4 linked regions of the Saccharomyces cerevisiae S288C genome follow. The gene in region 2 interacts genetically with the main gene of each other region. Each region holds a gene or a part of one and is shown on either strand. Other genes may lie near its edges. The genes, in order: FAT1, SVF1, UBP9 and GCD11.

Region 1 (4,272 bases), on a different chromosome or scaffold from region 2:
CAAAAGTTGAAGCCAAGTATTGAAAGTCTTTATGATATTACGATCGGCTACTCCGGTGTAAAACAGGAGGAATATGGTGAGCTTATATATGGGCTGAAGAGCATATTTTTAGAAGGAAAATACCCGAAGTTAGTCGATATTCACATCAGAGCATTTGATGTTAAAGATATTCCATTAGAGGACGAGAATGAATTTTCAGAATGGCTGTATAAAATTTGGAGTGAGAAGGATGCTCTAATGGAAAGGTACTATTCCACTGGATCATTCGTAAGTGATCCTGAAACAAACCATTCAGTTACCGATAGTTTCAAGATCAATCGTATTGAGTTAACTGAAGTGCTAATATTACCAACTCTAACAATAATTTGGTTAGTTTATAAACTTTATTGTTTTATTTTTTGAATTTAAATAATCCTTTCCATATGTTATTAGGTACATATATAGATAGATATAAAACTTTTTTTGATTCTTTATCAATATTACGTTTACATACGTACTCTCGTGCAAGGAAAAATACTTTATCCTAATTCAGGAACATCAAATCATAATTTAATTGTTTGTGCATCGATGGCTTCCCAATCAGCAGCGGTCAAGACTTCATAGCGCTTGTAATTCTTGAGCCAAAAAATAGTGTCATTTCCATCCAAACCCTTTGGTAATTTTTGCTCTCTATAAACCTTCTTCAAAATTTTATGATTATCTGTCATTTTAATTTCATCAACAAATTTAACAAATAGGGGCATAGCATAAGACGGTAGATTTAACCGGCTCAAGGAATCATTTAATAATTTGGTCTTTGCAGTGATGTCAAGAGAGTTGTCAGTTAGTTTAATAACTGCAAAACCAGCTCTACCTTCATATTTAGGTACTTTAATACCAACAACTAGAACTTGTGCATATTGTTCTTTGTTACTGGCCGTCAACTGATCTTCTACTTCAGTAGTGGAAACATTTTCAGATTTCCATCTGAAAGTATCACCCATTCTATCAAGGAAATACCATAATCCATATTCGTCCGCTTTTAATAAATCTCCACATCTATACCAAGCATCGCCACGTCTGAAGACATCCCTCACAACTTTGGACTTTGTTTCCTTGGCATTACCAAGATAACCTTGAAAAGATGTTTCTGGTTTTTTAGGGAAAAAGATTCTCATTAACATTTCTCCTGGTTCGCCAACAGGGGCCACTTCGCAGAAACCCTTGGAATTTCTATATATAACGGAATCGTCATTTGGGTCCATCCTTACCAATGTTTGTTGGAATGACAAAAACCATTGAATTATAGTACCATAGTTCCTACATGCGCCAATTCCAAAGTCACCTTTCTGGAAGGTAGTTGTAGCAAAAGGAGCTTCAGTTGCGGCATAGAATTCACCAATAACTTCTATGTTGAACCTCTTCCTGAAGTCCTGCCAGATGTCAGGTCTCAGCCCGTTACCATAAGCAACCTTCACCTTATGCATCTTTTCATACTTAGAAATTGGCGTATGTAACAGGTATCTACAGACTTCTCCGACATATTGGATGTGCGTGGCTCCTGTTAAATAAACTTGCTTCCAAAATGTACTGGCAGAAAATTTATGCGATAACGCAAGGCAACCACCGTGAGATAGAATGGCGCACGCACCTAATAAGGCAGCAGTTGAATGGAACAATGGCATGGCTGTGAACACAGTGCTTTCATTAGTCATATGTAAAACATGACCAAAAACTTGACAACCTACGGAGGATTTTCTCCAAGACATAATAGCGGATTTAGGCAAACCAGTGGTTCCAGATGTATAAATTAACATAGAGGGTTTAAAATCGGTCAAGCCTAGTGGTGTCCTAACGTTGTCTTGTTGTAAGAATTCCGGTGATTGCGAATTTAAAAGTTCATGCATTAAGTCTTGTTCTTCAAGATAGTTTAATTTAACATCAGGAAGTGCGTTTTTGATTTCTTCTTCCGATTCTCTGATCGGATTACTGGCATCAGGGTCAATAAATACCTGCGTAATATTGGAAATCTTTAGGGAGTGAACCAGCGGAGTGCCTTTAGTATTATAGTTTAAAAAAGCTGGAATAGCCCCAATGTTCCACAAAGAAAGCCATAAAAATACGAAAAGAGGTTTATTAGTACAATCGATTGCCACGTAGTCACCGGCCTGAACGTTATAATCAAAATGCAAAATATGAGACAATCTCAACACTATGTTATAAGTTTCAATATACGTAAAGGTTTCGAGTTGAAATTCTCCCTTTTCGGCCATGGGACGGGTGTAACTAATCGCTAAATGGTCACCATTTTGTTGGACCTGTTTAATAAATAAGTACCAGTTTTGAAACCTATGTCTTCTCACATCAATGATATAACAAAACACGCTTTTCAAAAAGTAAGGAATAATATACCAATCCTCCTTGTATCTATATTTACGGTCTAATTCATCAAAATAATTACCAAATAGATAACCCAGTGATTTCTGGATAGGGGTTATAATTAGCTTGATAAGTCTGAATAATAGCAGGAAAATCCTTGACAAGGCAAAGACAACAACCTGTATGGGAGACATAGTCGGTATTCGCAGCCTATTAAAAGTTCAACGATATAGAATTTGAATGATTTGGGCTTTTCAATTTAGTTTACGACTTTAAGGTCCTTATTTTTTTTGCTATAACATTAGTATTTATAAAAAATTTCTGGAGCTTTGTTACATTGCGCGAAAAACCCGCGTTCTATCTTTTTAGTCGCTCATCAAGGTGACAGTAAATAAAACAGACGGTAATGATTAGAGTTTAGGTAAGCTCATATTTTCTCTGTTGTTACTTAATTATCGAACGTTAAATTTTTTAAGTAGTTCATCACATTATATAATGTTAATCGTGAATTATATAAATTTTTTCTCCTTTTACTTTTAAAAATTGACATTCTGAAATATCCGCTCAAAACTTATATGTTTATTTGAGGATAAAACTAAACTTTGGAATGCAATGTAGATGAATCCGAAGAGTAGTTATTGTACCTATTTTGGGCACATGGAACATTATCAATTTCATCTTTCAAGCTTTTCCTATCCCTTAAAAATATTAACCATAAAACCACACTGTCTAAAAGGAGGAATGCAAAGCTAAACCAAGCCATTACTGCTGCCTTCTTGCCCTTCTTGACAGTGATTATATTCATACTTGATGATGGAACCAATCTGTAACTTGCATTTATCCCTACATGAGTCCACATCGCACCAATACCCCATGTCAAAACTATAGTTGAACTTAGCAACAGTAGAAATTTATTAACCGCTAGTTTGAATGGTAACTTAGGGACAGTTACATACAGAATAAATAGAAACATTAGGATTGTTAGGATTACAGTTGCCATCAAGACATATGGATGTATAACATTAACCGAAGTTAATTGGGCTAACTTCAAAATGTTCAAGACAACGCTTGATTGGGTTTTGGAGCTGGAAGATGCAATATTTGAGAGTTGAATTTCCAAGTCTCTGTATAAGGGAACCGAGCTTAAATTCTTTCTTGCATAGCAAATTGAATTGGAGAATGTAGTCATATTATTGTAAGAGCTATATTGGGAGGGAATGTTATCAATACAAACACCCATGTAACCGGATCTTATAATGACTTCCTCCAAGCCCAGAGTTGTATTTGATTTTTCATATGATTTCTCTATGATCGTATAAAAAGGTGAGTTGTCATCAAATTTATACTTCACTAGAAATGTTGACTGATTTGACGGGTTGTAACAGCCGATGAGAAGAAAAATCAAAAGAAATATTGAAATTAAATTAAAAGCTAATGCAAATATTCTGGGCATACGCTTGGTAAAAAACCAAATCATTGAGATTGCGACCATTTTTTTTTTTTTTTTTTTGTTTGTTTGTTTGTTTGTTTACTATAATTTCTTCTACCAAAGACAAGCAAGAACCTGAGATAAAAAACATTTAACAGACATTTTACAAATATATACCAATGTCTTTGTTATTTCAACAGCACTATATATTGTTTTCATTTTCTTGGTTCGTTTCATTGCTACTTAGCCATATTTTTTTTAACTGACACATACATGAAACCATCATAATCTTAATGGGAAAAAATCCTAAAGCGAGAAGGACTTTCAAAAAAAAAAAGTTTTAAAAATGTTATAATTTTTGTATTTTACCTGAATATATAGTAGTGTTTAGTATTTATTATCTTTCCTTTTCTATTTAAGGTATTCTTTGGATATATACTTCGTCTCATCAAGTCAAAATTCGTTTCATGTTCTACAAAAACAAC
Region 2 (3,935 bases):
TCGTTTCCATTTTCCGACTTTGCAGATTAGATGGATCCCTAAAACGAAGTGCATAGTTGCGGTATTTTGTATTTGAGCCATTTAAAATAGTCTGGAAGGTTTTCTTTTTGATTAAATACATTTGGTGTTTCATTAAACCTGGAACAATACATATGATCACTTCATCCCGATAAATACCAAGCCCCAGGAACGTACTTACTCCTACCAGCACCTGTATTATAACCTTTTCTGAGAGTTCTTTTGTTTTGCTTGCAAGGGTATATTTCGCAGATATCCACGAAAACTTTATTCATTTGCTCAGGCTATATTACATTATATATATATATGTATGGATACATAAGAAAAATGAGATGAATAAAAACGACAACTATTTATTATGGCAACATTGTTTACTGTGGCTATTTCTCGCATCACTCTTATTTTGAACAATAGTATCGATTATGTGACGCAACAATTAAAAAGGGGTATAACGATAACTTGCTATAATTATTAAAATTTGCAATATTAGATTTGTGTAGTATTAAATCACAGATAGGAAAAAGCATACGAGACCTTCCCACTTTTGCTCATGCTTCATTGTAAGACTCCTCACTAATCACATCTGATTCAGAAATGAATGTTACTTCGGTCCAAGCTACACCGTGAATTTTCTCCCCGCCATTTATTTGTAAAGTTGAGCTTTTTGGATCAGCATATTGGTATATAAATGGCTTAGTACCAGCAACACCAGAGACGATGTTTTTAACAAAACTTGGAATTTCGCCCATCACATCAATTCTTTCAACTAGGTTGTTCAACGGACCCTCCACAACAGCACAGATCTTATTTTCTTCTGCGACGTTCTTGTATTCTTCTTCCTCTTCATCTTCCTTTTCATCTTCCTTTTCATCCTCTCCTTGTAAAGCTTGTTCAGTCCCATTCTCGGATTCCAATTGTTCATCCTTGACTTTGGTATTGATACCTTTGAAGGTGATCTTAATATCTTTTGGAACTTTCCAACCAACAGAATCAATTTCTGAGTTTAAGTGCTCAACAAGATTGTTAGTTGTCATCGCTAAAACTTCTTTATCATCGGTAATAATACCAGCAGAAATTTTAGTGTTGGCATATGATTTTGGTGTAGTGAACTCCATCAACACCGCGGAATACTTTTCGGAATGGAAAAACATGAAGTTCCATGCCTTAGCTGCGTGATGAGGCTTCATGCCTTGGAAGGCCATTATAAATGTCGAAATCGCAGGGTCTTCCTCTTTAAAAGTAATCGTACGATCTTCATAGGTGATTTCGACTTCTTCACTGTCGCTTTCTTCTTCACTACCAGATTCCTCCTCAGAATCACCAGACTCTTCATCTTCGTCTTCATTATCATCCTCATCAGCTGAGGATTCTTCTTCATCAGATTCTGGAATAACTTCTTTCTTAACTTTGATAGTACCGTGACAAGCATTCCTTGGCCAGAAAACGTGTCTCATGCTACCCCATGGTTCATTGATATTGTTACCATAATAAGTCGCAGGATCATCGCCTATCTTGGCTCCAGGGGTTAACCTTCTTATATGCAAGTCAACGACAGATAAATCACAAACACTGGATTGAATGTGATAGCTTTCACCGTCTTCACTTAATTCTACAGAAAGATTGTCGGCATAGAAGTTTGGACCTTCGATGTAAAAATTTTCCAACTTGGTGGAAGTCCAGATATTCAAATCCTCTGGATTCTTCGAGTCAAAAATTCTGAAAGTAAATTGGGATGCAGTGTGCAACCCAATGATGTTCGAATGAATAACCTGGGCAAATCCAAAGATACCTGTTTTCAAGTCACTGAAATAAAAGATAACCGATTCAACGTTTGTATGGTCAGGAGCTTGCCAAAAAAAATCTTCACGACTGGTTTCTCTGTAAGGCTGCTTATTTTTTACCCTATCAGCAACACTATGAATGTAATCTTTCCCATATTCAGGCTCAGCCATACCAGTGACTGCTGAGATCCCACCTTTTATCCACTTCAACATTATATTATATTATACAAAAGCTTATTCGTTTCTTTTTTCTTGATTCGATGCAATAAATGACTGAATCTTTTGATCTTCTACAGATTTCAAATTATCAAACGAATACAAAAGAATTCTATCAACAGGCTCTATCTATATATAACAAACGAAAAGCCGTGCTATTCGTGAATCTCAAGGAGTAATCTTGCAAGATATCCCCGAATGTTTCAATCAACCAGCTGTCATTTCGCTTTTGTTTTCTCCCACTCATCGCAAGTTTGCCTCCTCAACAACAAAAAAACAACGAAAAAAAGCGGTACTAAACCGGACCTGAAGTTCCGTGGAAAGTGAGATTTATATTATGCAGGATTTTGCTCAGATTCTCTCAAGAGCAATATCATAATGCATAAGTGATGAAAAGTATGGCAGAAACGGTGGGAGGAACCGCAGTTTTAGCTAGGATCTGGAAACAATCAGTGATTTGCCATTTAACAGCTGGGGGAATCTAAATACTTTTGAATTTTAAGGTTTCCAGCACCATGCTTCGCTTTACTGGTGCTCGCGCTATTAGAAAGTACTCTACTAGGTATGCACTCGAGCACCTGAAAGAAGGTGCTCCTCTGAAAGGGCTGTTTTCTATTGAAGGATTACAGAAAGCATGGTTCGACCGAGTGAAATATCTCGATGCAAAATTGAACGATTGTACAAATGAAGCGCAACAAAAACCCTTAGAAACTCTCATCCATGAAAATTCGAAATCTGCTTCAAAGAAACATATCGTGAACTATGCGTCATCATTGTACAACTTGAAATTTAGCATGTCTTCCCTTCAGGGATGTATCAGGACTCCGCCAGAGGAATGCCCCAGGCTAGGTCCAGAGGCGCTACTTCAGACCCCTGATTTCAATAGGACAATAAGCAATGAGCCATTGACCACTGGCAACGAACGTTTGCAAGCAGCTCTAATTTCTTCATTTGGGTCTTTGATGGAGTTCAGAACATTATTAATAAATTCAAATCTTGCTATATCAGGCGACGGGTTTACGTGGTTAGTCGCAAGACGGCAGCTCGACAAACGTGCTATGCGCAACGACATGCCAAACAGGGATATTGAATATGATAAGCTGTTTATATTGAATACGTACAATGCGGGAACTCCCTTCAACTTCTCTACATCTGGGGTAATGAATGAGCTCAATAACCAATATACCAACATGGAAAAACAACGAGCCAAAGAAGCCGGTAATCTTGAAGATTCTGAGATGACTGCCAAGCAAGCCAAGACAAAATTTATTTATGAAACCCAACAGAAAGGTTTTTCTGGGAAAGAGGTTTCATATATCCCGCTTTTAGCCATTGATGCGTCACCAAAAACATGGTTAACTGATTATGGCGTATTTGGGAAACGAGAATATTTAGAAAGGGTATGGGACTCTATAGAATGGAAAATTGTAGAGTCAAGGTTACCTCAACGTACTAAGATCCAAGCATTCAACACGTTATGAATGAAACTGGTAATGGGAATTTTTTCCTTTTGATATAAGTTGGTAGTCTCTGTAAATATATAAAGTCAAACTATTCGTAATGTGTATATAACGTGGTCTTAAATTATTTTTATTCGTATCTCTCCCTTTTATTTGCCTGGCTTTGGTGTCTCATAGCTTCTTTTCTCTCTTTTAAGCTCACTTTACTGACTTTTCCTGCCGACCTTTAGACTTTTTACTCTGCTCAGTAATTTGCTGCCCGTCGATTTCTTTTTCATATTGGGCTCATTGTAGCGCACACCCAAATAAACGTCTTCCTCATCTTCATTGTGATCATCTTGGCCGTCGAAATCAGTAGTATAATTGGACTTATGCGTTCTGTTAGGAGAATTAACGGTTTTCGACCTTCTAACACCTTCATTGCTGTGACCAACATCATAGTTGTCTCTACTTAAACTCA
Region 3 (4,496 bases), on a different chromosome or scaffold from region 2:
AGCAATCAGTGTCACTTCTTCCTACATAAGCATAATTCAAGTATCGGGATATAAAGCTATTATATACCGCTTAAGATAAGAGGTATACACCTCATTGATCAAATACGCAACAGCGTCTCCTTTCAGACCTTTGTGGAGTAATTTCTGCGGGTAGGATTGACTATTTTTCAAGATCAATGCCCCCTCACACTAAGACCTGTTTGCTTAGCATCATAAATGAGTTTTTCCATAATTAAATTTCAACCATAGATTAGAATTTCGTTGCGGGATAAAACTCCAGAACCACAACGATTATGCAGCAAATGTAACCTTGAACTAAACTAAGATTTTGTTAGAGCAGGTGGTTTCCGTTACTCAGACAAGAACCTATAGTAGAAATATAAAAGTTTAAGTAAAACTTTCTTGGAATAGGAATCAGCCATCATCTATCAACTAGTGTACTGATATTCATAATACTGGTATACAATCATATACGGTGCGGGAAGATGACATAAAAAATTGAGAAACACTCATCAAATTTAATGGAGGCCGAAATGCAGGGACTCAGATCGTGATAGAATAATAAACGAGAACATATAAAATGGAAGAAAAAAGAATAACAACAATATGTAGATTTATCGATTCTGTTGATAATTAGAGGTAAAAAAATAGTATTAATGAAGAAATAATTACTGATCTTCTTATACTAAATAAGAGAGGTATATAAAACACACGCCGATTGGTCATATTAATCATGACCAATATAATAGTGATTCCGGTAGTTACTATACATTGATGTGACGACTCATATTCCTCATATATGTACCTACCATAACATGTTCAACTAATAGGTGTTTAACACAGCTTCAGTATTGTCTGAGCTTCTCGTTTAACATTCCTTCTGCAATAGGCGCAATCACACTTAAACGTATACGAGGTGTACATTAATATACGATGTAAGCATTAGATTGTTACCATAGCAACTCATGTCACTATTAATTACTCTCGTTCCAACAGATTCTCCTTTTATGGATTCCATATCTCGAGGAGACTTCTAGTATATTCTGTATACGCAATATTATAGCGTTTACGAACAATGAATCCCAACAATTATTTTAAAATTCACCAACATCTCAATATGTGTTTTATGAATATTTTAGGTGGGTATTGTCATACTGACGTATTCCATTTTGAGATGCAACACATACGTGTATTGTAATCCGATATAGTGTAACGGCTATCACATCACGCTTTCACCGTGGAGACCGGGGTTCGACTCCCCGTATCGGAGTACTTTTTTGACATCATACAGTGTATGTATGGGGTTAGGAGCCACCTTCCAACAAAGCATCACGCTGTCGTATCTCAATTGTCCTTCAGCAAAAGAAAAAGCAGTTGGGCTCCTGTACGCCATATATACTTTATATGCGGTTTTTACCCCGGAAATCGCGTTTATTAATGTCAATGCGCGATTTCTATTATGGGTTGAAAAAGTTGCACTTCTGTTCCTTTCCAAACGATATACGCCCCCCCCACAAGAAAACGTTTCTCTTGCATTCAATAAGGTCCATCGAAGCTGTATTTGGAACTTCCGATTTTATTAAACTTCTAGGGGCGAACTCAACCTTTCGCTTGAACAAGCTTGAATGTGTCGAAAACCTTAGCTCGATCCTTAAAAAAGTATTTGCATTATCAGTAATAAACAGAAAATTAAAACATTTACCAAAGGCAACGAGTCTTCCATATGAAAAATGATAAAAAGATGGTTATCTGTGAATAGGAAAAAGTCACACCCGGAGAAGAACACTCAAGGTAATGACGAAATTAATCGGAAAGCAACTAGCCTGAAGAAAACGAAAGGTTCTGGAGATCCCTCCATAGCGAAATCACCAAGTGCTAAGAGTAGTACATCAAGCATACCTTCTAATCTTGCGAGCCATGAAAGAAGAAGCAAGTTTAGTAGTCAAACGGATAACCTTGCAGGAAATAAACATTACCATGAGCATTACCATAATATGGCAAGTACTTCAGATGAAAGAGAGTACGATTCCTCGACTACATATGAAGATCGTGCGTTCGATACAGAGTCCTCCATACTATTTACTACTATTACAGATTTAATGCCATATGGGGATGGTTCCAATAAAGTGTTTGGTTATGAAAATTTTGGGAATACTTGCTACTGCAACTCCGTTCTACAATGCCTTTATAATATCCCCGAATTTAGGTGTAATGTGCTGCGATATCCTGAAAGAGTAGCCGCAGTAAACAGAATACGCAAAAGTGATTTGAAGGGTTCAAAAATAAGGGTATTCACTAATGAAAGTTTTGAAACATCTACTAATAGCGGAAATTCTAATACGGGGTACCAAAGCAATGATAATGAAGATGCACATAACCACCACCACCTTCAGCAGAGTGATCAAGATAACTCCTCTTCTTCTACTCAAGAAAAACAGAATAATTTTGAAAGAAAAAGGAACTCGTTTATGGGTTTTGGAAAAGATAAATCGAACTATAAAGATTCTGCAAAGAAAGATGATAACAATGAGATGGAACGGCCTCAGCCTGTTCACACAGTTGTAATGGCCTCTGATACATTAACAGAGAAGCTTCACGAAGGCTGTAAAAAAATTATTGTGGGAAGACCGCTTTTAAAGCAAAGCGATTCCTTATCAAAAGCTTCAACTACAGATTGTCAAGCAAATTCGCATTGCCAGTGTGATTCACAAGGCAGTAGGATTACATCAGTGGATGATGATGTCCTTGTTAACCCTGAGAGCTGTAACGATGCTGTCAACAATTCTAATAATAATAAAGAGAATACGTTTCCAACAAGTGAACAAAGAAAAAAAGCCGCTTTAATTAGAGGCCCCGTTCTTAACGTAGATCATTTACTTTATCCAACCGAGGAAGCTACACTTTACAATGGACTAAAAGATATATTTGAGTCTATTACTGAAAACTTGTCGCTAACCGGTATCGTTTCACCTACAGAGTTTGTCAAAATTTTAAAAAAAGAAAACGTCTTGTTCAACACTATGATGCAACAAGATGCCCATGAATTTTTAAACTTTTTATTAAATGATTTCAGTGAATATATTCAACGCAATAATCCCAGAATGAGATTCGGACCACAAAAGACAGACAACAGCAACGACAACTTTATAACGGATTTATTCAAAGGTACACTGACGAATAGGATCAAATGTTTAACTTGTGACAATATCACCTCAAGGGACGAACCATTTTTAGACTTTCCAATAGAAGTACAGGGTGATGAAGAGACTGATATCCAGAAGATGTTAAAAAGCTATCATCAGCGTGAGATGTTGAACGGGGTTAACAAATTTTATTGTAACAAATGTTATGGTTTACAAGAAGCAGAACGTATGGTCGGACTGAAGCAACTGCCCCATATTCTGTCATTGCACCTAAAAAGATTCAAGTATTCAGAGGAGCAAAAGTCAAACATCAAACTTTTTAACAAAATACTCTATCCACTAACTTTGGATGTTTCTTCCACTTTTAATACATCAGTATATAAAAAATATGAACTAAGCGGCGTCGTCATCCATATGGGGAGCGGTCCACAGCATGGTCATTACGTATGCATTTGCAGGAACGAAAAGTTTGGGTGGCTTTTGTATGATGACGAAACGGTGGAATCCATAAAAGAAGAAACTGTGTTACAATTCACAGGTCATCCAGGTGATCAAACTACAGCCTACGTTTTATTCTATAAAGAAACACAGGCTGATAAGACCGAAAATCAAAATGAAAATATAGACACTTCTAGTCAAGATCAAATGCAGACTGACAATAACATTGAACAGTTAATAAAATGCGATGATTGGTTAAGGGATCGTAAATTGAGGGCAGCTGCAAATATTGAACGCAAAAAGACCTTGGGGAATATACCTGAAGTTAAGACTGCAGAAACCAAGACGCCATTAAATGATAAAAAACGCAATAAGCAAAAAAGAAAATCGAGAATATTGAGCTTCATCAAATAAATCGGGATTGTTTCGATACATCATATAGTTGAGACCCATCTGTTCTAAAAGTATCAATATTAGTGTACCATTTTTTCTTCCTTTTTTAAATAATTTCCACGTTTCTTTCTATTGTTCCTGATCTTTCGAATTTAGTTGTATTTCACTTCACCTACTGTAATAACTTTTTTTTTTTAGAGCACAATAAAATTTCACATATTTTCCAAAAGCAAGGGCGGTAAATCAGAAAAGATTAAGCTTTAATGAAAATCTCATAGAGACCAGATGAAGAATATTGGTGGCAGCATAAGCGCTAATACTGAATAGATATACGCATTTTTTTTCAAAATATCTGTTAGTACATTTATACAAATATATTCGTTTATACCTCTTCTTTAAACAGGCGCATGTGTAAATAAATATGAGACTGATTCTCCATTATGCAATCTTCTGATAGCTTCTGCAATCGTAGGGCTGATATCCACCTGATCGACAATGTCCAAATCCAAATCAACAGGTACC
Region 4 (3,866 bases), on a different chromosome or scaffold from region 2:
AAATAAAACCTTTTCAAGGTTATATATACTCAATAGATACTGAATAATTTTGGAGCTTCATTATCTTTGTGCAATTGTCTCCATGTACAAACCACCGATAAGATTTAGTGTAGAGTATGTTGGGTGTAAAAAAAGAAAGGCAGTTTATTGACTACTGGTGTAACTAGACGATAAAGGTTTGAGAGGTTTTCATGGCATCAATGGGAAATAAATGAGTTCGAGAACTATGAGATAAATATTTGCTTAATATTATCGCGTTTAGTAATTTTTTCTTAAAAATACGTAAAACATGTTAAATATACAGTTGAATACTATGTAAGAAGGAAAAAAAAAGAAAGAAAACGTTATAAAAAGAGAATAAAGATCATCAATGTCATTACGCATCAATGTATATGAGCATATTGCAATAACCAGAAGTGTCAGTTTCCCTTCCTCCTAGCCCGTTTCTTATCTTCACTTTCTTTCAGATTAATTATGAAATTTTTGTCTTTGCAGTGGTTTTATTGGTTCCTTAAGCGATGGGTTCCAATGTAGTACCCTTTTTAATGGTTGCCCAACCAATCAAACGCCAATGCTTTTCGATACGTCTCGACAAAGCAATCTTCTCGTTAATTTCAGTACAAGCGGGCGACGTTAACTGTAATCTTGCCATATCAGCTTTAACGGCAACCACACGAGCCCCCGTAGCGGTAGAACCAATGTTGACCATAAGAACTTCATTTGGCTCTAATTTTCTGACTTTGGCTTGCTTTTGACCATCTGTTTTGACACCTAATAGACGACGTAGCAAAAAGTAGTTGATTTCGATATCAGTATAAATGTTTGGCAAATGACCCTTAGCACCGACGACTTGACCGACAAGACGATCAGCTCTACACAAGGTAGGATCAACTTTAGTACCAACACCAATCAGACCACCGGGAACAGCAAACTTCAAGTCATTTTGTTCGGCAAATAAGGAGACAATGTTAGAAAAGATTGGTTTACATTGAATTTTACCCTTATCATCCTTGGTGACAATACCTGGTCTAATCTCAATTTCATCACCTAATTTGAAAACACCATTCAAAATAGAACCACCGGCAACACCACCTTTCAGGTCCTCGATTTCAGCACCTGGCTTATTAACATCAAATGAACGAATAACAATTAACCTTGGAGAAATCATAAAATCTCTTGGTGGTACGGGAATAGTCTTGACAATAAATTCATTAACTGCGTCGATGTTATACTTCAACTGAGCGGATATTGGTACAATAGGAGCACCGTCAGCAATGGTACCTCTGATGAACTTCAAGATGGATTTTTGGTGTTCTAAGGCACTTTCTTCACGCATTAAATCGACCTTATTCTGTAAGATGATGACGTGCTTTAATTTCATGATTTCAATGGCAGCTAAATGCTCTGAGGTTTGAGGTTGTGGACAAGATTCATTACCTGCAATCAACAGTAACGCAGCATCCATAACAGCAGCACCTGATAACATAGTACTCATTAAGATATCGTGACCGGGACAGTCAACAAAAGAAACGTGACGGACCAATTTGTAACGCCCCGGACAACCTGGTCTTTGACATTTAGGACTGATTTCTTTATCAGATTTGAATGATCTATAACAATCAGGTTCGGGACATGTAGGCTCTTGACATTTATAAATTTTAGCATTAGCGTAACCTAACTTAATAGTAATGTTACGTTCTAATTCATCCTTAAAACGGACTGTTTGGACACCTGAAATAGCCCTAACTACTGTGGATTTACCGTGGGCGACATGACCGATGGTACCGATGTTTATTGTAGCTTGCCTGTTGATAATTTCGGCGGATAGTGGGTTTAATTTTGAAAAATCAGGGTTTAATGGTTGTTCGGGCAAACCACCACCTTCTTCAAATTCCCTTTTCCTTTTTTCTTCTTCAGTTTCCCCGTCTTCTTCCAAGCCAGTGAAGGCGACTTTCTTCTTTGGCTTATCAGCATCTTGTGTTTCTTGTGTTTCTTGAGCTACAACTTCCGTTTCTTCAACGATATCTGGTTCACCAACTGGTTCCAAATTACCGTTGATAATAATGCTAGGTTCTTGGTCTTGTAAGTCACTCATGTCTACCTCTAATGCGCGATGTTAACGGTGTATTACGCTCTTTCCGCCCTCTTTGCTTAGCTCCTGGTACAGGTCGAGATGAAATCTCTGTCTTTTGTACTGATGATCAGCATCGGGCTATTCTATGAAAATTTTTTCAATGGCAAATCTGGTCCGGGTTACTGACATGAGAGCAAATAATAAGCATAAATTAAAGCATATTGATATACTTCATATAACAAGTATATATCACATCACGCCAAGCTTACGCATAATGCTAGTAATAAATAGATAAACAAAGAGCGTTCTTATTGATCTAAGGTCGCCACCTTTCTACCCACACGACTGCGGTCAAAATCAATATCGAATCTTGAGTTGATGACGTTACGTTTCTTGGAATTTAGAGATGTAGCTGAAGATGCCGAAGAGGATGTGCCATCAGCATTGCCAGCAACTATTTCAATATCTGTCTCATCATCTGCTTCCAACCCATTACTTGCCACTTCCCGCGGTTGGATCTGTAAAATTTCATGGCCTGTATTTAATTTTTCCTTTTCTGTGGGAACGGAAACTGCGGAACTTGAATGATCATTGTCTGCGCTCATGGTCAAGCCATTGAAGGTTTTCTGCAAATTCTTCATCGATGGTGTTTTAGATATATTCCTACTGTCAATGTGGCCTTCCAAATCGAAAAACCCGCCATACCTGTTCAAATTTACCTGTGATGAAGAAGATGTTTTGCGGGAGCCATTGACTGTATGGCCGTTACGTTTCGGAGGATTATTGACTGCATTGTCCATTTCATACAATTTATCGACCACTGGACTGATCTTCACGCCAGTTTTATTATGAGAAGTGCCGCGTGACATCCTCCAGTAGGAACGAATTTCGCCTAACACCCAACTTAACATAAACATTAACCTGTCACCCTGTCGAAATTGCGATGTCACGGTCAAATCTACTTGATCATCTTTAATGATGTACCCTATTCCAAAGCCATGAGGTACAGCAGGAGTTATACCAAATGTCGTGGTAGCAGCATTACCACAGTTGGCAACAATCAACTCAGGCTGTGAGAAAGGTAAAACAAGTGGATTTTCGAAAAGATCTTTCGCAGCAGATGATTCATCACCACTTAAGTGGATACCAAAATGGTCATGAAATTTGAAGAGATATTTCAATGCATTGAAGTGTTTTTCATAACCTACCCCAGACTTTGCATGTTTAACCATGTTATTATGTGTTTCGCAGGTTTGGATAAATTTGTCTAATTTATCTGTCCCATCAATGGAGCTAGAAATAAACAATTGACATAGTTCCAACAGCGCTTGACTTTGAATGTTAATAAAAGATGATCTCGAGTTTTTGAAACCACGTGTGGATACTGGTTCTAATCCAAACACCATTCTTCCATACAAAGCATAGTGAGCTATTTGTAAAGCTACTTGAACCATCGAATCGGGCTTGACTCCTAATCTTTGAGCTGACCTTCTGCCCAATGGAATAGAAGCGCGAACAATATCATACTTGGAAATCAGATCAGCTAGTTTGGTTTCTGACAAATGGACATGTGTGTTCAGGATGTTACTGAAAGACCAATCGATTTTATTTACAACCAACTTAGGGTCAATTTCAGAAGGGCCTCCGCCGTCGGCACTTATGGTCGCCGTCATCAGTTTTTTAGTTTCAGGATCCATTTGTGTCACGTTAGGCCAGAGTGAAAACTGTGGGTCACCGGCGTTAACGTCTCTAGCTAATCTCAAGACTGATTCTGTATAAATTTCAGAAGTAA

What was found.
Region 1: mutations in SVF1 (region 2) and FAT1 together harm fitness more than expected from each alone (negative genetic interaction), as found in Saccharomyces cerevisiae (2 studies listed by BioGRID).
Region 3: mutations in SVF1 (region 2) and UBP9 together harm fitness less than expected from each alone (positive genetic interaction), as found in Saccharomyces cerevisiae (one large-scale study listed by BioGRID).
Region 4: mutations in SVF1 (region 2) and GCD11 together harm fitness more than expected from each alone (negative genetic interaction), as found in Saccharomyces cerevisiae (one large-scale study listed by BioGRID).

The regions. Positions count from the first base shown.
Region 1 is NC_001134.8:316,546-320,817, reverse strand, and holds FAT1 (long-chain fatty acid transporter FAT1), read right to left. Parts: upstream 2,553-4,272; coding exon 543-2,552; downstream 1-542. Other genes in the region: CST26 (putative acyltransferase), read left to right, coding at 1-402; FIG1 (Fig1p), read right to left, coding at 2,954-3,850. UniProt on the Saccharomyces cerevisiae protein: Acyl-CoA synthetase required for both the import of long chain fatty acids (LCFAs) (C14-C18) and the activation very long chain fatty acids (VLCFAs) (C20-C26) by esterification of the fatty acids into metabolically active CoA-thioesters for subsequent degradation or incorporation into phospholipids.
Region 2 is NC_001136.10:1,166,648-1,170,582, forward strand, and holds SVF1 (Svf1p), read right to left. Parts: upstream 2,013-3,935; coding exon 567-2,012; downstream 1-566. Other genes in the region: mitochondrial 37S ribosomal protein mS43 MRP1, read left to right, coding at 2,531-3,496; PAL1 (Pal1p), read right to left, coding at 3,679-3,935. UniProt on the Saccharomyces cerevisiae protein: Ceramide-binding protein that may transfer ceramides from the endoplasmic reticulum membrane to the cis-Golgi network membrane, and is thereby required for the biosynthesis of complex sphingolipids. Required for survival in response to oxidative stress.
Region 3 is NC_001137.3:353,736-358,231, forward strand, and holds UBP9 (putative ubiquitin-specific protease UBP9), read left to right. Parts: upstream 1-1,730; coding exon 1,731-3,995; downstream 3,996-4,496. Other genes in the region: ribose phosphate diphosphokinase subunit PRS2, read right to left, coding at 4,370-4,496.
Region 4 is NC_001137.3:203,480-207,345, reverse strand, and holds GCD11 (translation initiation factor eIF2 subunit gamma), read right to left. Parts: upstream 2,096-3,866; coding exon 512-2,095; downstream 1-511. Other genes in the region: carnitine O-acetyltransferase YAT2, read right to left, coding at 2,383-3,866. UniProt on the Saccharomyces cerevisiae protein: As a subunit of eukaryotic initiation factor 2 eIF2, involved in the early steps of protein synthesis.